3 linked regions of the Pelodiscus sinensis genome follow. The protein of the gene in region 2 interacts with the protein of the main gene of each other region in a pairwise test. Links are inferred from orthologs where the notes say so. Each region holds a gene or a part of one and is shown on either strand. Other genes may lie near its edges.

Evidence for each region. The genes of interacting proteins can lie anywhere in the genome.
Region 1: the proteins of MAPK14 (region 2) and DUSP1 interact in binary tests that used the Homo sapiens proteins (3 or more experiments, as listed by UniProt). The link is inferred for Pelodiscus sinensis from reciprocal best matches to the Homo sapiens genes MAPK14 and DUSP1.
Region 3: the proteins of MAPK14 (region 2) and SUPT20H interact in binary tests that used the Homo sapiens proteins (3 or more experiments, as listed by UniProt). The link is inferred for Pelodiscus sinensis from reciprocal best matches to the Homo sapiens genes MAPK14 and SUPT20H.

What each region holds. Positions count from the first base shown.
Region 1 is NC_134727.1:18,126,225-18,133,091, reverse strand, and holds the start of DUSP1 (dual specificity protein phosphatase 1), read left to right. Parts: upstream 1-3,861; 5' UTR 3,862-4,201; coding exon 4,202-4,571; intron 4,572-4,718; coding exon 4,719-4,867; intron 4,868-5,075; coding exon 5,076-5,295; intron 5,296-5,823; coding exon 5,824-6,194; 3' UTR 6,195-6,867. UniProt on the Homo sapiens protein: Dual specificity phosphatase that dephosphorylates MAP kinase MAPK1/ERK2 on both 'Thr-183' and 'Tyr-185', regulating its activity during the meiotic cell cycle.
Region 2 is NC_134737.1:12,871,667-12,879,378, forward strand, and holds the start of MAPK14 (mitogen-activated protein kinase 14), read left to right. Parts: upstream 1-4,708; 5' UTR 4,709-5,189; coding exon 5,190-5,305; intron 5,306-7,712. Other genes in the region: SLC26A8 (testis anion transporter 1), read right to left, coding at 2,238-2,407. UniProt on the Homo sapiens protein: Serine/threonine kinase which acts as an essential component of the MAP kinase signal transduction pathway.
Region 3 is NC_134711.1:294,784,920-294,792,577, reverse strand, and holds the start of SUPT20H (transcription factor SPT20 homolog), read right to left. Parts: upstream 3,007-7,658; 5' UTR 2,871-3,006; intron 2,128-2,870; exon of another isoform or gene 2,001-2,127; intron 1,420-2,000; 5' UTR 1,325-1,419; coding exon 1,322-1,324; intron 1-1,321. UniProt on the Homo sapiens protein: Required for MAP kinase p38 (MAPK11, MAPK12, MAPK13 and/or MAPK14) activation during gastrulation.

The sequences.
Region 1 (6,867 bases), on a different chromosome or scaffold from region 2:
ATCTATGGCTGCATTCCACCTTTCTCCTCCCTGAAATGATTTTTGAGTATTTACTTGTATATGCAGTAAGTAGGAATTCTGCCAAGACAATTCTCTAAGGGCCTCAGTTCTTGGCCTATTCTTTCTTGAGTGGTTGTGGATTAGACTACAGAAACCCCCTTGGGTGTGCTGATCATGCCTCTAATGTCTGCTTTCCTGCCCTTTGGGACTCTCTACCACACTGTCCTGCTGGGCAAGACCCTGTGTCTGCCCCATCCAAGGCACAGAGTTGGGGTTACTGCCCTCTGCAGAGCAACAGAGATGCTGAACCAGCTCAGCTCCAGGAGCTTGGCTATAAGAACTCAGTATCCAGGAAACCAAACCACAAAAGGGACCAAAAGCCCAAATAAATCAGTTTTTTACCAAAGTTTCACACAGAGAAAGCTCATAAAGATGCTTGCCTCTTTATCTATGAAAGAGGTATGCACAGTGATAGTTTCTTCCCCCCCCCCTTCCCCTCCAGTAACAATTATTTACTCTGGGCTTGATGATAAACAAAAATGTTTTATGAAGTACAAAATGTAGGATTTAAGTGATTACAATGAAAACAGTCAGATCAAAGCAAGTTACTAAGTTTAAATAAACAATTCAAAAATACTAAATATACTCGACATGAAAATTATTACCCTAAACAGTTGTTCTAAACATCTTTCACAAGCTAAGCAGCCTCCTAGGTTGGGCCTAGGATTCTTCACCCCTACTCGATCTTAGATGTTTCCGAACAGGCATGTTAGGTGGTAAGTGGCATCTCCTGGCATCTGCCCCTTTTGTTTGATTTCCCTCACCCCATACCCTTTTTGCCCAAGGCGTGAATTCTGTAATCATACAAGTTCAAACTTTTCTCACCTTGAGTGGAAAAGTACAGGGTCCAAAATGGGTTTCAGCATCACGTGGCCTGGCCACAAGTCCTATGACCAACCACAATTTGGGCTTTTAAGAAGAATAAGCCATTCGTGGGTTGTTGGTTTGAATACTGAGCCATTATGTTTCCACAGCATCAGTAATGGCCCTTATTAGCACATTCAGATTTAAAACCAGATTCACATTTCATATTTCTAACTTCACATACAAGAATGATACATGCAAAAAATTAAAATATACAGATTCAGCAGACTGTAACTTTAAAATTGATGTTACATGAGATATTTTAGAGTGTCTGAGTTAAGTATACTCATAAGCCAATTTTCATAAAAGCATGGGGGACATAACAGTGGGTTTTGTTTTTTGTGAAAAGACTATTACTAAATTTATTCTTGATAATTATCATTATTATTATTCCCCTAAAAGAGCAGATTGTGAATACATGGTCATTAAAATTTGAATTGGAGTATTGTGCAGAGTGAGGTTTATAAATAATAACCTTGCTAATGTCAACATTGTATGCAGCACATACAACAGATTATGTGACCTATTCTGATCAAATAGCCACTTAACTGTGAGCAGAATATTTCACTGATCATGCTTCTTGGGCATTAATGATTCACTGGAAATGATGTGTTGTACGCTGCCTCCATGGTTCTAGTAACTGAGTAGCTGATAGAGGGCTGGAACATCAACCATTGGAACATATGAATCCTTCACACACAATCTGTGTTTAAGTCATGGTGTTGTTAAAATAGCAATAATAAATAAACAGAAATGAAAAAGTGCAACCCTGTTTTTATTTTTAAGGAAAAAAACAGATTTGCTTTGAATCTTCAGCTTTGGCAGAGGAGTCATGGTTTGGCAGAATGGAGGCAATTGCACAATCAGTTAATCAGTTTCAGACTGGCAATTAGTCAGTTGTCTGGGGGAGAAAGGTCTGGATGCTGTGGGGCACTTGGTCAGATACAGATCAGCAGGGAAGTTGAGAAGGTTGTAGAGCCCTTTTTTGTTTATGGATTGACAGGGAGTTACAGAGGAGGTTCTGGAACATTCTGAAGCAGCTGGTCACTAATAGTTTGTCAGGAGCCAGTGCAGAAGGCTCTGGAAAGTCCCAGAAAATTGTGGCAGTCTGGGGTTTAGAAAGTGTGAGAGGCTTCCCCAAAGCAATTTGAGGGTATTAGAGGAAATGAGAACAGGGAAAGTTTGTGTTGAAAGATGTAGCTAGAGAAGAAGGATGGTAAGAGAATACTGCTGCCTATAAGGCAGAGAAGGAAAAAGCAGTAGTATGGAGGTAAGAGGACGGGAGAAGCAGGAGTCACAATGAATGGCCAATAGGGAAAAGGGACTCCAGAGAGATTTGCTCTACATCTAGACAGCAGCGCTATTTTGGGATACCGAAAGTATCCCGAAATAGCAATTCCACATTTTTAAACATGCCCGTCATTTCAAAATATATTTTGAAATAATGGACACACTATTCCAGCGTCCCTGTAATCCTTGTTCCACAAGGGTTAAGGGACTTGTCAGAATAGCACTTTATTTTGAAATTAGGCACGGGGTAGATGGCACCAAGTTTAAAAATAAGCTATTTCAAAATTACCTCAAAATAAGCTACACAATTTACATATCTTATTTCAAGGTAAGGGTGCACCCCAGGGGAGCCTTCTTCCCCATGGGTAATAACAGAGACAGAGAGAGAATACACAGAGAAGGGAAAGACAGGCTGTGAGACTACATAAAAATCAGGCACCGAGGACGGGGAAGTGAAAATAACTGTGATGGGAAGCTCTGAGCAAGAAATACTCCAGTGGGTTGATAAAAGCTGATCACCCACAGGGAAAAGTAACTTTTGGGAAGCCTTACTAATTGGTGAAGGGGGGAAAAAAACTCTACTGCCAGTTATTTCGTAGCCCTGATTTCAGTGGGAATTTTGAGTATGCAAAGAATACAGTCCCAGGACTAGAGTTTAGTTACATTGTTTTTTCTTTCATACAAAATACAGGAAATATTCCTCTGCATATATACACACCCCCTCTTTCTTAGGAACCTCAAATATATATTTAAAAATTGCCCATTCCTCTTCTCACCACCCTGTAATGTTTTTCTGAATACTCCTTTCACATGCCAGATGTATGTCAGTATGTGATGTGTGTGTGTAAGCCTAAAGTAAATGTCAGTAGGGGTATGTGTGTATAAGCCTAAAGAGACATAAGATGAAGAATCTGTGCTGGCAATCATATTCCTATTCTATAAAGCTGTGGTCTCCACCACACTAGCCACATTTGGCAATTTAGCCACTTGAGTGTGGTTAGTTCGCTTTAGCAATAGCTACTGCAGTGGCTACTGCTTCAGAACTGGTTGGACACTACAGCTATAAAGGAATATGGACATGAACTAATATTGTTTTGAAGAAAGGAGGAATCACTATTACTTGTGCTTTAAAGGAACCTCACTTAGCTTCTTACCAGTGTGGGGTCTATGGCACTGAGTGGAAGAGCTCTAATTCCACCCAGCAGAGGGCAGTTCGAGAGCGACTGTGCCTAGCCACGGCATCACACCAGGCCTGAGGGGAGTGTGTGTGAATCCTCACACACCGACCCGATAAGAGACTGCGGAACAAAAAGATGAACAAAGCGCGTGTATGTTCTTCGGCTTTCCGCTGTACATTGTGTGCCGAGGGGCCCGGTGGCTGCTGCCCGTGGCGTTGCAGCGCGCAGGGTTGCATCAGTCGATTTCCTGCCGGCTCAGGATGGAAGGTGTGTGTGTGTGTGTGTCTGCAGTTTGCACTCCAGCGACTGCTGGCGAGCCGATGACGTGAGTGCTCCCGGGCAAGGGAGTGTCTGCCCTACGCCCCTCCGAGTGACGTCAGTCTGAAGCAGTCAGGTGACCCAGGCTCATTCACAAAAAAGGGGCAGGCCGCTCCGCCGCGGAGCCTATAAAAGGCCGCGCGCGCGCTGCAGCCCGCCAGGACCCTGTGAACAGCGGGAGCAAGAAGGGGGCACACAGAGCACTCGCGGACCCAGCCTCCATTGCAGTCAGAGGCGCTTCCCCTCGGACCCGGACTCTGCCTGTGCGGGCCGAATTACACACAAGAAATTGCCGAGACGCGCCGCGCGGTTGGTTTGTAAAAAGCGCCCCGAGAAGCAACAAAGGAGCCGGGAGAGGAAGCCGCCCCCGCGCTCACACAAAGGGGACCCGCCCTTGGACCTCGAAAGAGACCCACCGCCCGTCCTCCCCCACCTCCCCGCTCCTGCGTTTGGGGACCCGGACCCTGCCCGCCCGCGCCGCGCTCCGAGCGATGGTCAACATGCAAGTGTGCGCCCTGGATTGCGAGGCGCTGCGGGGGCTGCTGCAGGACCGCGCTGCCCAGTGCCTGGTGCTGGACTGCCGCTCCTTCTTCTCCTTCAACTCCGCGCACATCCTGGGCTCCGCCAACGTCCGCTTCAGCACCATCGTGCGGCGGCGGGCCAAGGGGGCCATGGGGCTGGAGCACATCATCCCCAACGAGGAGCTGCGGGGCCGCCTGCTCGGCGGCGGGTACCAAGCCGTGGTGCTGCTCGACGAGCGCAGCTCGGACCTGGAGCTGCCGAAGCGGGACAGCACCATTATGCTGGCCGTGAACACTCTCTGTAGGGAGGCCAGGAACACGCGCATCTGCTTCCTCAGGGGTGAGTCCGGGGAGCGCTCAGGGCGGGGGAGAAGGGGGAGACTGTGCCAGCCAGACACTATCTGGCCTGTGTGTTCTCAGGGGGAACAGGGCATTTACGCCTCACCAATGCTAACAAGACTTTCCCCGTTTTCTCTCCCCATTCCAGGAGGGTACGAAGCCTTCTCTTCCGCCTGCGCTGAGCTGTGTACCAAGCCAACCGCTCCCACGGGCCTGAGCCTGCCTCTGAGTGCCAACAGCATGCCTGGCAGTGCGGATTCCGGCTGCAGCTCCTGTGGAACCCCGCTCTATGACCAGGTCAGTAGGAAACCTGCTAAACAAGAAAGGGTCATTTGAATTGACTATAGCCCTTAAGGCTGGGCATCTCCAGAGGTGATGTTCAGACACAGAAAAGATAGTGAAGAGAGCAAATGTCTGCTTGCCTGCATATAGCAAAAGAAGAGAGGCTACTTTAAACCACACAGTGCAATTATCTGATCCTCTTCCTTTGTCTCTTCTTGTTTAGGGTGGGCCAGTGGAAATCCTACCATTTCTCTACTTGGGCAGTGCCTATCATGCCTCCAGAAAGGACATGTTGGATGCTTTGGGAATCACCGCCTTAATCAATGTCTCAGCAAACTGCCCCAACCATTTTGAGGGGCATTACCAGTACAAAAGCATTCCAGTGGAGGACAACCATAAGGCTGACATCAGCTCCTGGTTTAACGAAGCCATCGACTTCATAGGTAAATGAGTGTTCTCTGCAGCCTGTGCTTCCAGAGAATCAGCTTGCATTTCCCTTGAAGTAGAGATCTCAGTGGAAATCTCTAGCCCAGTTTAATCTTAAAATACATGGGAAGCTGTTTCCTCAGGGATTAAAGTAACATGAAGTAAATCTGTAGCTATCTTATTTGGGTCTGTGCTCTCTACGAGGCTGTATTGCTAACTGCTGAAAGGATTCTTGACTTTATAAAGCAGTTAGTAAATTTAGCCTGGTATTCCACCAGTAGGTTTTGATTTCTAAAACAGTGATAACTGTTTCAAACAAGTGTCAGAGGCTGAAAGAAACTATTTGTATCGTTGGAATTAGTTTTATTCGGGATAGAAATCCTTAGGTGGTTGTTTACCTCAGGACAAGTGTCTCTTTGTCTGAAGTGCCATGCACACCTTGAGTGCTGGGGAAAGAACAAATTCAGAAATAAAAGCTCATGTTTCTGTAGCATTGGAGGAACCGGACCCATGTATTAACCATGTCATTTAATTGATTATTTCAGATTCTGTTAAAAACGATGGTGGAAGGGTATTTGTGCACTGCCAGGCTGGCATCTCTCGCTCAGCAACCATCTGCCTTGCTTATCTCATGAGGACCAATCGAGTCAAATTAGACGAGGCCTTTGAATTTGTGAAGCAGAGGAGAAGCATCATCTCCCCAAATTTCAGTTTCATGGGGCAGCTGCTTCAGTTTGAGTCTCAAGTCCTAGCCCCTAACTGCTCCGCAGAGGCTGGAAGCCCTGCCATGTCTGTATTGGACAGAGGAACGTCAACCACCACAGTCTTTAACTTCCCAGTCTCTATCCCTGTACACCCTTCATCCAGTGCTTTAAGCTATCTACAGAGTCCCATCACCACTTCTCCGAGCTGCTGAAGAATAGAGGAACATTTATTCAGAATACAAAAACTTGACTCTTGTCTAAAAAGTGCAATAACCATGGGGACAGTGTCTTCAGTCATGTGAGTTCGCATGGGGTTCCATCCATCTCAGAGTAACTTATCACAAGCACAAAGGGGCTGATGTGACTCCAGAGAGCTAGTTCTTCCTTGAATTTGCTGGCATATTTTTGACCAATATCTGGATGTCTACAAAGGAGACAAAGAACACAGAATGCTGTTTTCTTCTTCTGAATTACTCCTCCTTTGTCAGGTTGAAAAGACTAGTCCTTGTTCAGTAGCATACCCACCAGTATTCCCATTTCTGGACATTCTAAGCAACAGAGATTATGTTCCATTTTATATAAAAGTCCTGTTTATTTATTTTATGTAGAAGCATTGTTCTTGCCTTTACAAGCCTGAAGTTTCATTTCTAAAGAAACCAAATACCTCAGTATTTTTTGGGTACTGTAATCCTGTAAACACATCTTAAACTGTTCCCACTTCCTAAGCACTGACATGAAAGCACCAGATGAGTGCTTTTTTAGTTTCCAAGGGTTGTATGTTTGCTGATTTATTTATGATGTGAAATAATATATTTCTTCTTATGAAAGAAGACATGGTTTTGTTACATGATTATGACTTTTTATACAAATAGAATAAATTATGAT
Region 2 (7,712 bases):
GCAGACACCTCCTCTCACCCCACCCCACCCCACACGTACTCCCTGCAGCCATGTCCGAGTGGCCCAGAGTGCTGGCGCACGCACTGTCGGGCCACTGTCGTGCTGCTCGCCCTCCTCCCTGAGACGGTGGCGCTTCAGCGGGAGTGCGGGGCTCGGATGCCCCGTCACAGGATGATAGTGCTTTGATTCTTGCTATTCTGATGAAAGTAGAAATCTGAACATCGTAAAATCCTTGAAAACTGGGGCAAAAAACAATTTTAGTCACCTAGTCCATCTATCAAGGGAACAGTCCAATGTGTTTCCTGTACTATGTTCTGTAATATGGGAATGGCAGACTAATGGATGTCAGACTTAATGTTCTTAAGAATGTAAGTACAGCCATACTAGGATTAGACTAATGGTCCAGGTTAGGGATGTAATAGTGTAGTCGATTAACCGATTAATCAATAAGCACAAGCTTACAGATTAATGCTATAGACTACACGCATTTCCCTCTCCCATTCCCTTGCAAGTAAATATTTTAGCAGGCTGGCCAGCAGCCCAGCTCAGTCCTGGCTCACGCCGGGTCCGGGACCTAACCCTCCTGTGGCTCTTCATTTAAAGTATATTACGAGTCAGGCAGCCCAACTTAGTTCTGGCTTGTGCTGTGTCCAGGCGCTCCGACCCCCCTAGATAGGGTCTGCTGCTACCCCAAGCTGCTGTGGACCAGTTCCTGCCTGGCACCTCGTGCTGCTGCCTCTGATACAGAGGTTGCCAGCCCCGCCAGCAAGGGGACTATTGACTAGTTGACTACCCGATAAGAATTCATGAGGTTACTCGACTATTCAATTAACCGATATTTAACATCCCTAGTCCATGTAAACCTAATACCTTGTCCTCTAACAGTAATCAGTGCTAGATGCTTTGGAAGGAGTGAACAGAACCAAGTAGGTCTGCTGTCGAGTGGTGGTGGTGGCAGCAAAGGGCAACTGCTCTCAGGCCCAGTGATTCAAAAGAGCCTGGGACTTCCAGCCACCGCTGCCACAGCAGCATCCAGAGCCCTGGACGCTTTAAATCGCCACTGGAGCGCCCAGGTGGCATATAAGTCCGGAATGGGAAGAACAGGCTGGGGTTATATTAACTGATACTGAATGTGCATACTCACCTTACCCATCCTAGCAGGAATATCACAGTGCAGCAACACAGCTACAGAGTAAGGCAGAAGGAAGGTAGTACAAGTTCTGCCATACTCTTAGGAAATCTTATCTCTAGTCGGGAACTGAACGTGGTACTTGAGAGAATTTAAACAAAATAGCAAACACAATTGCCAGAAAAAAACCAGTGTAACTTTTTGTCTGTGGCTGCCAGCTAGGATTGAAGGAAGGTGCAGAGGAGTCTGAAACAATTAGCAGAATCCATCCACACTATGCAGAGGTACTCCATTATCACAACGGTGAAATGAACAGACTATTGTGGTTTGTTGGAAGCGACTCTCCCAGTGCTGTGGTAAGCTTGACTCACATGGCCTTAGACGTGGGTGACCCCCTGCACACTATCATTTGGGGTAGGGGTGAGGAACCTTTTTTGGGTCGGGGGCTGGTGACCTACAGAAAATTTAGTGGGTGAAAAGTGCAAATCTCCACCCAACTCTCACTGACATGGCCCCCAAATGAGAAGCAGAAAGACACTCCCCACATCCTCCTCACACGCCAGAGCCTAAGGGGGGTCCAGGCTAGTAGATTTTGTGTGCTCAAGCCCTGTGGTGAGGTGGTAGGGATGGGGGGGGGGAGGCAGGGGTAGAGTGCTAGTGTGGTCACCCCAGTGCTGGGGGCAGGAAGGGAGTCATGAGCCAAGGGGGCTGGATTCATACAATCTGGGGGCTGCATCCTGCCCCCAGGTTCCCCACCCCTGATTTGTGGGCACTAAATCTTCCATTCAGAAGTCACATATCCTTGTTTGGTGTATGTGTTTTTCTCAACACTTTTGCTTGATGACTTTTGTTTTGTTTTGCTTGGTTGTTTGGAGGGCCACAAAAACATTTTCCATCTTGGGTGGCAAACACATACAGCAGTCTCTGCTTAGCTGCTCCAAACACAGAGCACTGGTTTGGCACTTTGATTCGGTTTGTATCAGTCCCCTCTGTGTTTTTGTACTGAGCTGTGGGCAGCAGGAGGGTCAGTAGTTGCGTTTAGATTGGTACCTGACCAGGCTCCTCAGCTTCTTCATATCTGCTAAATAATTCCTGGCATATTACTCACCGGCAGTGTACCCTTCGTTGGACTCGGGGGAATATGAAGTCCCTGTTCCTTAGGGAGGGTGTGTTTCTCTCATAGTTCTTTTGAAAGTGCTCCTCAGTGTATATGCCTCTCTTGATTTTGTACTTCCCTAGCTGCCTGGGAGCACTGACAGTCTCAGCATCTGGCTCCATGCAGTCACCCTGATCATGGACAGTCAAAAACACAGGAATAATGAAGGCAAGAGGAAGGAATCAAAGCCACTGACATTACCCATGACACTGAAGATAAAAAGGAGGGTCATTGAACTGGAGTGTCCCATTGAAAAGAAATGTTTAAATGACTAAGCCCAGGGAAAAATCCATCTCTGATGTAACTCCATCTGAGAAGGGTGCTGAAACAATTTGTACAAGGGGGGGGGGGTTCTTCTGAGAGCCATTGAACCACACTGTGACGCCTGTAATGGCCACCACTTCAAACCTGGCGGTGCAGCATCACCAGCACTTGTGCACCCACGCCGCGGGTGTCATGCCAGGGCAGTGTGGCCGGGAGGTCCTCTGTCCACGGAGCAATGGTGGCATAAGTGGCAGTGGTGTTAGCTCCCCCTCTGCTGTTGCAGCCCCCAGGGCCACTTCATTGGGGGTCACAGGACTCCTGTCCACAGATCCCTGTGGCCGGGCAGCTCTACAAAGGGACTGGGGGGCACTGACCCCGGCTCCCTGCCGGCCCCCCCCACTGGCCCGGCCCTGGGCGGGGACAAACTCCGCGCATGCTGCCGGGAACAGGGGACCCCCGCGCTCACCTGCGGCAGCCTGAGCTTCGAGACACGCGGGGCCGCCGGGCCTGGCCAACTGCCAACCCCGGGGCGGGGCGCGCGGTGCTCGGGATACTCCCCCCGCTCCTCCGCGGCGGCCAGACCCCCCCCCCATGGAGCGCCCGGCTCCGCTCCCCCCAGCGCCACGGGGAGCCCGGTCTGACCCCCCCCTCGGGGCTGTGCACTGGGTAGCGGGATGAATGGACACGTACCCGCTGCACGCCGCGGCGCGTAACGCACCAACCAGCCACCCCCCAGCCGGTGTTTTAATGCCCCCTCGCAACGCAGGTCGTGGGTGTCGGCTGCACCCCCCCCCCCTTTTCCAAGCCGCGGGGTGACTGCGGGGCCCAGCCACCCGGGGAAACGTGCACGAGAGAAACACAGGAACGGGGACTGCACCCCCCCCCCCCCCCCCGCGTCCAACCAAGGGGGCGCTGCGCTCAGCCGCTGCGGGGCCGTCCAGGGAGGCGCGTCCGTCTGGGGCAACAGCGCCTCTAAGCGTCCTCCCCGCCTGCCCAGGGAAATCCAGCGGGGTCCAGGCGAGGCCCCCGCCCGTGACCGGCAGCCTGGCCCCGTGACAGTCCCCCCGCTGGTGCCTGACTGAGCGCGGGCCTGTTCTCAGCACAGGCCGAAGCCCCACGGACTTGAACAGGGGCCTGCAGCCCAGCCCGTAGCAAGGTGCGGGCGTGAGAACTGCCCCCCCCCCCCCCAAGGCAGGGGCACAGTGCCCAGAAGGGGACACGGCAGACACACTGGGGCAGTGGCAGTGCCCCCCCAGGCAGAAGCAGGGGCACAGTGCCCCCCCCAAGGCAGGGGCGGGCGGGAGGCGGCAGACACACTGGGGCAGGGGCAGTACCCCCCCCAGGCAGAGGCAGGGGCGGGGACGTGTCCCCCCCCAGGCAGAGGCAGAGTACCCCCCCCCCGGCAGAGACAGGGGCACAGTGCCCAGAAGGGGACACAGCAGACACACTGGGGCAGTGGCAGTGCCCCCCCCCAGGCAGAGACAAGGGCACAGTGCCCCCCCAGGCAGAGGCAGGGGCACAGTGCCCCCCCCAGGCAGAGGCACAGTGCCCCCCCCAGGCAGGGGCACAGTGCCCCCCCCAGGCAGGGGCACAGTGCCCCCCCCAGGCAGGGGCACAGTGCCCCCCCCAGGCAGAGGCACAGTGCCCCCCCCAGGCAGGGGCAGAGTGCCCCCCCAGGCAGGGGCAGGGGCACAGTGCCCCCCCCCCCAGGCAGGGGCAGGGGCAGAGTGCCCCCCCAGGCAGGGGCAGGGGCAGAGTGCCCCCCCCGGCAGAGGCAGGGGCACAGTGCCCCCCCCGGCAGAGGCAGAGGCACAGTGCCCCCCCCGGCAGAGGCAGGGGCACAGTGCCCCCCCCAGCAGAGGCGGGCGGGAGGGGACGCGGCAGACACACTGGGGCAGGGGCGGGCACTGGCTCTGCACGGCCGCGGGGACGTGGCCAGCCGCCAGGGCTGGGCAGCCAGGCCGGGCCCCGCGCCAGCGTCCTCCCCTGCGGCCAGGCCGCGCGGCTCTGCCTCGCTCCGCCCCCCGCCGGGTCGCGGGTCGCTCTCGCGAGACAGGAGCGCCCGGCCGCTGGTTCCATATTGGGTCATAGCCGCTCTTCGCGCCTAGGCTCTCGCGAGGCGGGGCCAGGGGAGGGGGCGCGATCGATTGGTCTGCGCTCCGGGAGGAGCAGGCGGCGCCGCCTGACGCAGCCTGGGCAGTGCCACTGGGCCGGGAGGGGGAGGTCACTCCGGCATCGCCCGCGTCGCCTGCCCTGGTCTGTTTGTGAGAGGAGTCCCCCCCCCCCCCCCGCCACCAACTCACATCTGGTGCCTTTAAGGACCCCCCCCCTTTCCTCCCGTCCACGCGCTGTCCCGCCCCGTGGGGTGACAGCGCCGCGGGGCGCGTGAGGAGAATCCCAGCCCAGCTAGCGCGAGACAGCCCCGGGCGCCGCTGCACGAGACACCCCCCGGCCCGGGGCGCGCGGAGGCTGCCAACGGGGCCCGGCCCGGGCCGTGCTGAGGGAGCTCGGAGCGGGGGGGGGGAGGGGAGGTGCAGACCTGTCCCCTCTCTAGGGGGCAGGGGAGGAGGCGTCCCTGCTGGGGCCGCTGGCGGAGTCCCCCCTCCCGCCTGGCCGGGCGGGGCGGGCCGCGGAGCCGCGATGACTCTGGAGCGGCCCAAGTTCTACCGGCAGGAGCTGAACAAGACGGTCTGGGAGGTGCCCGAGCGCTACCAGAACCTGTCCCCGGTGGGCTCCGGGGCCTACGGCTCCGTCTGGTGAGTGTGTGGGGGGGTGTCTGCCAGCCTGAGCTGCACCCCTTCCTCAGCGGGCTCCGCTCTCGGCCTGGGGGGGTAGGGAGTCTGGCCTGGCTTCTCCCCCGCTCCTGCATGCCGGCGGGCGGTGCACGTGCAGGGCGCTGAATGAGTTGAAGGGGAGCTGGGGGGGACCCCCTCAGCTCGGGGGGGGACCCCCTCAGCTCGGGGGGGGACCCCCTCAGCTCGCTGGGGTTCATTCCCCGCCTTCTGCCCCCGGTCTGATTGAATCGGCCTTGCCCACGGGGGATTTTCATCCCTGGGTTAGTGGAGAAACCGCTGCAGAACTAGTGTCTGGCTGGTGCTGTGCCCCAGATGGCACCGCATGACAGGGGCTGGTAAACGCAATTTCAGAGTCTTGTCTAATATTCCCTCTAGTCTTTTCTGTTCATGGACCATTTTTTCTAACCATGAGCTGAATAAATTTGTATGTGAACCAAGACATGTAGAAGTGGTGAGGGAGCTCGGAGGCGGCCCGAGGTCCCCTGAGGGGAGGTGCAGACCTGTCCCCTCTCTAGGTCCCTAAGTCCCCATCACATCATTGGAAACAAAACCTAGCTGTAAGCACTGTGAATCAGCTCATTGGCATTGAATCTCTTTAGTACAGTTTACAGGGAACACTCCTCTTGTCCCCCTTTTCCTCCAGGATATTAATGCACAAACTTTCCTCCTCCCCCACTTGAGTTACTGAAAGGTGGAGTGTGCCAAATCCCTGCAATTTGCTTTGTAGAACAGGATGACAGTTTCATCTTGGAGCTGCAGAACAAGTTGCATTTGGGGTAACTTTAAAGAGTGATTGGTTGTTATGTGACAATGAGATGGTGGAAAAGGTTGTGAGGTTCTCTTTTTTGCCTTGCCAGCAGTGCTTTTACAGGTAACAATTGGGCATGGGAGGTTAACAGAGGGGAAATTTTGTGGTCTTTCCTGATTGAGAAAATTAGGCATTAGTCCTGCTGTCAGATCTGTGAAAGCGTGGACATAACCCCAAAGAAAAATATTCTGGTCTTTAATCCTTAGTTAAACTAATACAGATAAGATGTGTATAACCAATACACACAAGACGTGTATCTATAGTTTGAATTGCTTGTAATTACAGCAGCATAATCAAAGATGCTGAGCTCCCATGGTATATCAAGTATTTTTGCTCATTTGCTAATGCAACAGTACTTATTAGTTTTGTTCTTCAATAATATAAAAAAAGAAATGAGTTGATCTACTTGACTATCCTCAGTGGTGTTGTCAAATCACAGTGATGCATGAAAGCTTTTTTAGGTGGCTTTACCGTTTTTTAAAAGATACATTAATGCTGTATGAACACATATAGTGTCTAAAGTTTTTCACCCACTATGTCAAACCCCGATAAAGATTTTGTAATAGTGCTTCCACACAATGGTCTCCTAATTTGTGATGTGAGCATGCATTAATGAAGTTATATGCAATTTGTAAATTTATACCTATAGTGCAGGGCTCACAATAAATATGAATGAAGAAAAGTAATTGCTATGTATATATTGTAGCTTTAAAAAAACCTGTCAGATGTTTGCTTTTAAAAAAGGCTGATTATATTCTACAATATTGTTCCATTTAAATAAGATCTATTAAAACTGCTTTGTTTGTAGTAAAGTATATTAAGCATTTGTCTTTTATACTTTGTATAAAGGTTAAACAGGTTCTAGCAGCATGAATAATTGGTATGACAGCTGACTAACCGAATGCATTCCCCCTAAATTTTTGGTATAGAAATGCTAAGTGTAATTGTAGTACAGGCAGTCCCCGGGTTACATGGATCCGACTTACATCGGATCCCTACTTACAAATGGGGTGAGGCAACCCCGCACTAGCTGCTTCCCCCCCAGCAGACCAGGGAGACGCGAAGCTAGCCCCGCCCCCCCAGCAGATCAGGGAGATGCGGAGCGGCTTTTCTCAGCAGACACCTCAGCTTGAGAATAAAGGATTGAGGGAAGTGAGGTGTGGGAGAATAAAACTGAGCTCTGGAGAAATGTTTGGCTAGAGTTTCCCCTACAATATGTACCAGTTCCGACTTACATACAAATTCAACTTAAGAACAAACCTACAGTCCCTATCTTGTACGTAACCCGGGGACTGCCTGTACTGTACTAAGATAAGAGCTTGACCTTGCTGGTTGATGATTATTTCCTGAGATGATGAGTTGAGGGTGCTCAGTGCCTTGCAGCAGGGTCAACACTAGAAATATAATGAGCAAGATCTCCTCCTACTTCCAAACCCCCATTGTGCTTTCAAAAAAAAAATGCTTGCATTACTTAAAAATATTTCCTTCCATTACCCATATAACATAAGGATTTGCATCATTAACTTCCTGTTTCAGAGTGTCGGAACCTTCAGAGATTGT
Region 3 (7,658 bases), on a different chromosome or scaffold from region 2:
TGGTTACATGGTTACATGCACCTGCAGCACAGGGCAGCAGATAGCACCCCAGAAGCCAGCTGATCGAGAGGCAACAGTACAAGAGTGGGAGTCAGTACGGTCCCTTGCTGGCCCCATGGCATTCAAAGTGGCACATGGAGCCCAGGGTCGGGGGTGGGGGAGAAGGGGAAGAGGGGGGAGTCCCCAGCTGAACCCAGGCTCCACACAGCACTGCCACCTTGAAATGCCACGTGTGGCCTGGCCCAGACTGCACGTGGCATTTCAAAGTGGCAGTAGAACATGGAGCTCAGGGTCTGGCCCCAGGATCCATGCGACTCCACTGCTTTGAAGCACCCGCTGCTCTCCCCCGTCCTGTTGCCTCTTTTTAATAGAGGCAGCCAGGGAGGGGAAGGGGGAAGCAACTAATGTGTCGACTATCTGATAAGCATTTGCATATCAGATAGTCAACTAGCTGTTCACATCCCTATTTTAGGATACATGCATATGAGATATCAATCCACAAGATTTTAGGTACACTCTATCCACTGATTGCTTGACATTACGAAAATACCTATGGCATGTTACTGCTTAATTGTCTGCTATAGATGTGTGAGTAGGGCTTACATATTCCTCTGAATCATCTAGTTTGTGGGATACAAGAATGGATTAATGAGACAATTCCTATCTTCTATTCTAAGAGTACGTCTAGACTACATTCCTTTCGAAAGAGGAATGCAAATGAGGGAAATAAAAATGCAAATGAAGGGCTAATTTCCAAATCTCGAGCTTCATTTGCATAATCTCTTTCAATTGCTTTCTTGGAAGAGATTTTTTTTTTTTTTGAAAGAAATGCAGTCTCAACGGGGTTCTTTCAAAAAACAAACAAACCCTTTTTCAAAAGAACCCTGTAAACCTCATTTTTTCAGGAATAAGGGTTCTTTCGAAAAAAGGTTTTTTTTTTTTAACCCCATCTAGACTGTTTCTTTCTTTTTTCCCCCCTGAAAAAAGTCTCCTCTGAAAAAGCGATCCGAGATTATGCAAATTAAATGGGATATTTGTAAATCAGCGCTTCATTTGCATTTTCAATTTCCCTCATTTGCATTCCTCTTTTGAAAGAGGAATGTAGTCTAGATGCGCCCTAAGTGACTGACTGATTTAGGTGCAGCATTCATAAGCTCCATAGGAAGCCCAACCATCAGCTGGAGAGAGTTACAGTGTTAAGTCACATATCTGAGCATGTCAGAGACACAAAGGAGTTTTCCTTTTCTATCTTCACCTGCCAAATACCCACCATCCTGAAGGTAAAACAGTTATGAAAAATATTACTTCAATTGTATCTTACCATTGTAGTTGAAGCCAGGGTTTCCAAATGGCAGATGAAATATTTAAGAGTTTTGGTGCAGTAGGCAAACAATCATATTTTTAGGGTCACGTGAGGTACTGTAAAGTTTGAGAGGAAAGGAGAAATACAATTACCAGCTAAGTTAAACAAGCAATACTGTTATTTAAACTGAATATTTTAATGGCAGATTATATTGACTTTATTTACATAGATAGACTCTAATTCACTAATAAAGTAGTCACCATTGACACCTGTTATCCTGCAAATGAAGCATAGCCACTCCATATCAACACAACTACTCAAGAGTAAGACAAAAATCAATCAAAATAAACTACACGGCCAAATGCAATTACCCATACCTGCGGTGTCTTGGCAGAATACCATAGCACTTATGTCTCTGACAGAGTAAATATCCCATTTTACTCTAATAGAATGATCAGGACATTTATTTTATGTATCAAAGAGCCAGCTCTGATTTTATGTATTATTTGAAAAACAGCAACTCTACCAACAATACTTCCTCACACCATTTTGAGATGGTAAAAACTACCAACCACTGAGGTGCTAACAATTTTACTCAGCACAAGACCTCCTTAGACACTAATCAAGTCTAGCAATATTTTACTTTTGAATTAAATAAGATAAAGAAATTGTAAAGTCTATTAATACAATTACTTACCTATACATTTTTAAAATCCTGTTTACTTTTTACTAATTGTGTTCCATTTCCTTTCAGACTCTCTCAAAGAGGAGACTTGAAAGTCCCTGGATATCAGTTTTGTTTCTTAATGTTGCATTTCAAAACACTGCAGGAAAGCAATTTAACTATTTCCAAGGGTTTTTATTTTGAAACATGGAAACATTTTCTACCCATTTTAGATCCCACACAGTTTTTTAATACACATTTTAAATGACGGGTTATATTTAATTTGCCAAGTATCTCTCTCTGTTACTAGCTATATACTAGCCAACCTCTTCCTTTAGAAATCTGTTTATTTTTTTTTATTTTTTTGGTTCTAGTTCTAGGGACACACTATCCGACAAGCAAGTGATGCTCCAACAGCGAAGCAACAACTCCGGCCTTTAGCCACTGGCCAGGATGTCACTTTCCAAGCTATGAGAAGAGACAATCTCTGGGGCCGAGACTCTGCAACTCACAGCCGCACACAGGCGAACAGGACCGGGGTGGTGGCAGCGCTTGGCCGCACTCGGAGCCAGATCGGCGGCACTGCCGGCGGGTGAAGGCCCTGGGACGGGATCGCGGGGAGCGGGTGGGCTGCAGGCAGCTTTAACCCAGGCCTTGCCAGGCCCCGCGGGGCCGAGGCCACCACTGGCAGCGGGGCCGTTGGCAGGTATCGGAGGCAGGCGCAGAGCCGGGAGAGCGATGAGAGCCGCCCAGGCGCCCCGGGGAGGGCCCAGGACCCAGCAGCCACTGGGAGGCCCAGAGGCCCGGCCCGGCCCCGGAGGGAGGGCGCCGACCCGAGAGGGGACGCGGAGGGTTACAGGCCACCTCACCCGGCGCCGGACACAAGCGCCCCCCTCCCCGTACCTGCCGGCCTCATGTCGGGTCCTGGCCCCCGCACAGCTGCCCCCGCGGCCCTTTCATCCGCCCCCCCCCAGCCCGCGGCCCCCGCGCGCGCCGCTGCTTCCGCTCCACCACTTCCGAATGCGGCCCGGAAGGGGCGGGAAGAGTTACCCTAGAAACCGGGGAGGGGTGAGGAGAAACCCTGCCCTGTTGCCACGGTGACCAAGCGCTGGTGGTGACCTCCGCCGGCTCCCCCGCCCCCTCGGAGAGCGCCTCCAGCGGCCGGGGCCGAGGCAGCGCTGGGGCCAGCCCTTATTTCCCTCCAGGCGTATCGAGCGTGGCGCGCAGGCGCCTACCCCTGCAGCTCCCCCGCGCGCCAGTGGGTCCCACACTAGCCTGCAGGCAGCCACCTCTGAGTTCCCGCTCTGCCACAGATACTTCCTGCCGCCTTGGGCACGTCTCCTAAACCCAGCTCTTAGGAGCCGAAGTGCCTTGGATGGTCCCTTTCTGGGCCTCAGTTCCCCATCAGTGGAACCCTTTCAATAGGGAACATGGACATAGCACTTCCCTACCTCACCGGCGCTGTGGGGGCAACTCTGTTAAAGGCTGTGATTAGCATAGTAAGGGTGACCATTTCAGTACCTAAAACGAAATCCAGGACAATGTAGCACTTTAAAGACTAACAAGATGGTTTATTAGATGATGAGCTTTCGTGGGCCAGACCCACTTCCTCAGATCAAACAGTGGAAGAAAATTGGCACAACCATATATACCAAAGGATACAATTTAAAAAAATGAACACATATGAAAAGGACAAATCACATTGCAGAACAGAAGGGGGATGGAGGGGGGGAAGGGGGGGAGGTAAATGTCTGTGAGCTAATAATATCTCTCCTGTGCGGCTGCACAAGTGCACGGCTTACAGGGAACACTAGGGTTTGGTTGTACTGGGGCTGGGGCCAGAGCTACCGTGTGGTAGGCAGCAACGGCAGCTCCAGAGGCCGGGAATGGGGACAGAGCCGCATGGCGGGTCGCTGCCCTGTTGAAGGGCCGACCTTATAATTGGGCAAATTGGGCCCATGCCCAGGGTACCATAGCCAGAGGGTGAGGGGCAACCGGGCATTGCTGGGAAAAGGGGGTGAAGGGTACTGGGTAGGGGGGCAGTGTGGCAGGACATGGGTTGGGGATTGGTGGCACAGCTGGGAGGAAAGTGTAGGGGTTGGGATGAAGGGAGCACTGTGCAGAAGTTAGAGGCAAAGGGGGCACAAGAATTCAATCATAAGAACATAGGAATGGCCATACTGGGTCAGACCAAAGGTCCATCCAGCCCAGTACCCTGTCTGCCGACAGTTGCCAATGCCAGGTGTCCCAGAGAGAGTGATCAAACAGGTAATGATGAAGCAATCTCTCTCCTACCATCCATCTCCACCCTCTGACAAACAGAGGCTGGGAACACCATTCCTTACCCATACTGGCTAATAGCCATTTATGGACTTAACCTCCATGAATGTATCTAGTTCTCTTTTAAACCCTGTTATAGTCCTAGCCTTCACAACCTCCTCAGGCAAGAAGTTCCACAGATTGACTATGTGCTGTGTGAAGAACTTCCTTTTATTTGTTTTAAACCTGCTGCCCATTAGTTTCATTTGGTGGCCCCTAGTTCTTATATTATGGGAACAAGTAAATAACATTTCCTTATTCACTTTCTCCACACCACTCATGATTTTATACCTGTTTACATTTAAATTCTCCAGTACAAACCCTGAAAATAGCTAGAATGCTGCATGGGTACAAAATCTGTATTTGCATCTGATACAAAATCCTCAAAAATGATCACAGATGCCTGTAGGTTCACAGGGCTTTAGGTATGAAATTTGATCTGCATCTATACATGATCTGCAAAAATGGTCTGTAGCTATCCACATCTGCAGATATCTCATATTCTCATTAGAGTTATCTTGCTGGTATGAAGATGATATCCATGGTTTTGCAGGCTCTACAAATAGCCATCTCTAAGCCAACAGGTGCAGCCAGTGGAGGCTGATGTTCAAGAACAGCTCCCATCATGATGCAGCATTCAGGCTAATGCTCATTCTGAGGCTGTGTCTACACTGCACCCCTTTTCTGGAAAAGGGATGCAGATGAGACAAGTCGGAATTGCAAATGAAGCGGGGATTTAAATTTTCCCCGCTTTATTTGTATTAACATGGCTGCTGCTTTTTTCCGGCTCAGGGCTTTGCCGGAAAAAAGCGCCAGTCTAGATGGGGATCTTTCGGAAAATAAAGCCTTTTCCGAAAGGTCCCTTATTCCTGATTTTAAGAGGAATAAGGGACCTTTCAGAAAAGGCTTTATTTTCTGAAAGATCCCCATCTAGACCAGCGCTTTTTTCCGGCAAAGCCCTGAGCCAGAAAAAAGCGGCAGCCATGTTTATACAAATGAAGCGGGGAAAATTTAAATCCCCGCTTCATTTGCAATTCCGACTTGTCTCCTTTGCATCCCTTTTCCGGAAAAGGGGTGCAGTGTAGACACAGCTTGAGAGTATGTCTACACTGCAGAGTTTTTTCAGAAAAACTGCTGTTTTTCCAAAAAAACCCTTCATTTACATCCACACTTCAATTGCGATCTTTCGGGAAAATAATCGAAATAACAGAGGGGTTTTTCTAACATTGGTAAACCTCTTTGTACGAGGAAGAAGCCTTTTTCCAAAAGGGCTCTTTCAGAAAAAGGCATCTGGGGATGGGGAAGAGGGAGTTCTTTCAAAAGAAGAGGAAAGAGGAAAAAGCACAGGTGCCCTCGTGGCCACTCTGTCCACAGCTTACCTGTGAGATAGCATCCATTCAGTGTGGGCAGATGCGCTTTGGCAGTGTGGATGCTCTCTTTCGGAAGAAGTTTTTTCGGAAGATGTCTTCCGGAAAAGCTTCTTCCGAAAGAAGCCCACAGTCTAGACACAGCTTGAGTCATTACTTGATGCAGTATGCTTGGTGTACATTGGTAAGGGTGGCAGATATTAATTGGCCGCAGGTGCTCCAAACAATGAGGATCTTTGTGCTGCTTGACTCCCTCATTGCAAGAGCCAGAAGCAGTGGGCTGGTCTCAGATTCCATTACAAATCAACTGATGACAGAGATGGAAAGTAATTTGTCTGTTTGCTTTACTTGAACATTTATGTTATATATAAGAGTACAACAAAGACAACAAACAAGATATAGCATAGTGCCGTGGTCACCAACCCGTCAATCACGATCGACCGGTCGATTGCGAGGCCTCGACCAGTCGATCGCAAGGCGTTGCGGGCCTCCTATTTCCCTCCACCACCAAGATGTCCCACTACCTACCTCTAGTGACAATGGAGGTAGTGGTGGCTTCCCGCTGGGTGGACGGAAGTCCTGAGCTGTGTGTCACTTTCAGGGGTTCCGGAAATGTGCTGGCTGCTTCCTTGCCCCAGGTCTTCCTTGCCCCAGGTGGAACGAGGTGTACAGATAGTTCGGAATAGGAAGCCTAGTCCGAACTATCTAGTTTGTGCCGCGTGTAGCCACGGGCACGGAGTCTGCACTAGCGGACATTTAAAAATGGCGGCGCCCGGCAACATGCAAATGAATCCCAGGAAATTCAAATCCTGGGCTTCATTTGCAAGTTCGTATGACTACATTAACCACCCTAGTTCGAACTAGGGTGGTAGTGTAGACATACCCTAACTGGGGGAGTCCCCAGAGGCACGCGCTGGGACTTCCTTGCTTCACGGGAGGGGGGAGTCGGGCCCATATGGGGCGCATGACAAGGGCTTCCCTGCTCTGTGGGAGAGCACGTCGGCCCAGCAGGAGGCGTGTGACAGGGCTTCCTTCCTCTGCAGGGGAGGGGGGAGTCCTGGGAGGAGGTAGGTGCAGGGCACCCTGTCCCCTGCTGTAGAACCCTGTCCCTTTTCCATCACTGGCACCCTGTCCCTGCTGCAGAACCCTGTCCCCTGCTGCAGAACCCTGTCCCCTGCCCTCCTGGCACCCTGTCCCCTCTCCCCTGCCTCCAGCCGCAGAACCCTGTCCCCACTGGCACCCTGTCCCTTGCCCCAGCACCCACTAGCACCCTTCCCCAGTACCATGTCCCCGGCTCCCACCAGCACTGTTGGGGCCACGTTAGTGAGGCTTCAGTGTTTTTAGAGGTGTTATTTTTTTGTATCTCACTTGTGTGGCCCTAACTGACTTTTCTGTGGTCAGTGACCCCTGACTCAAAACAGGTTCCCTGCCCTTCTCATAAATAAAGACAACGCAGAAACTTTTTGTGTTTGATATAATATTTTATTTAAAAATGAAGCCTGGCCAACAAACCCCCAATTGGGATGAAGCCCCCATCTGCCCACAGCATCATAACACTCCTGCACCCCCCTTTCCCTCAGACCCTAGATCTGAGCCTATCATACACTGGAACCCCTTGCCCTGAGCCCCGCACATACCTCAACCCAAATTCCTGTACCCTCACATCCACAAGCCTGTGGCTTGCTTAATACCCCAACCCTCCATCTGACCCAATACTGCCTGGCCTGGAGCTCCCTCCCAGAGCCAGCGTCCCCTTCTCCTCCTCTTCCTGCATCCAGATTTCCTCCCAGAGCTTGCACCTCTCACCCCTTCCCACACCCAAATCCCTCATTCCCACCCCAGAGCCTATTCATCCTGTCTCGACCCAGTGAGGGTCCAGCTAGACTGCAGGAATTTTTCAGGATTCCAGAGATATCCCAGAAAAACTTTTCTGCATCTAGGGATGCGTTTGTTCTTCTGCTTTTTTTAGTGGAAGAGCAAACACGCTCTTTCGGTAACCCCTATA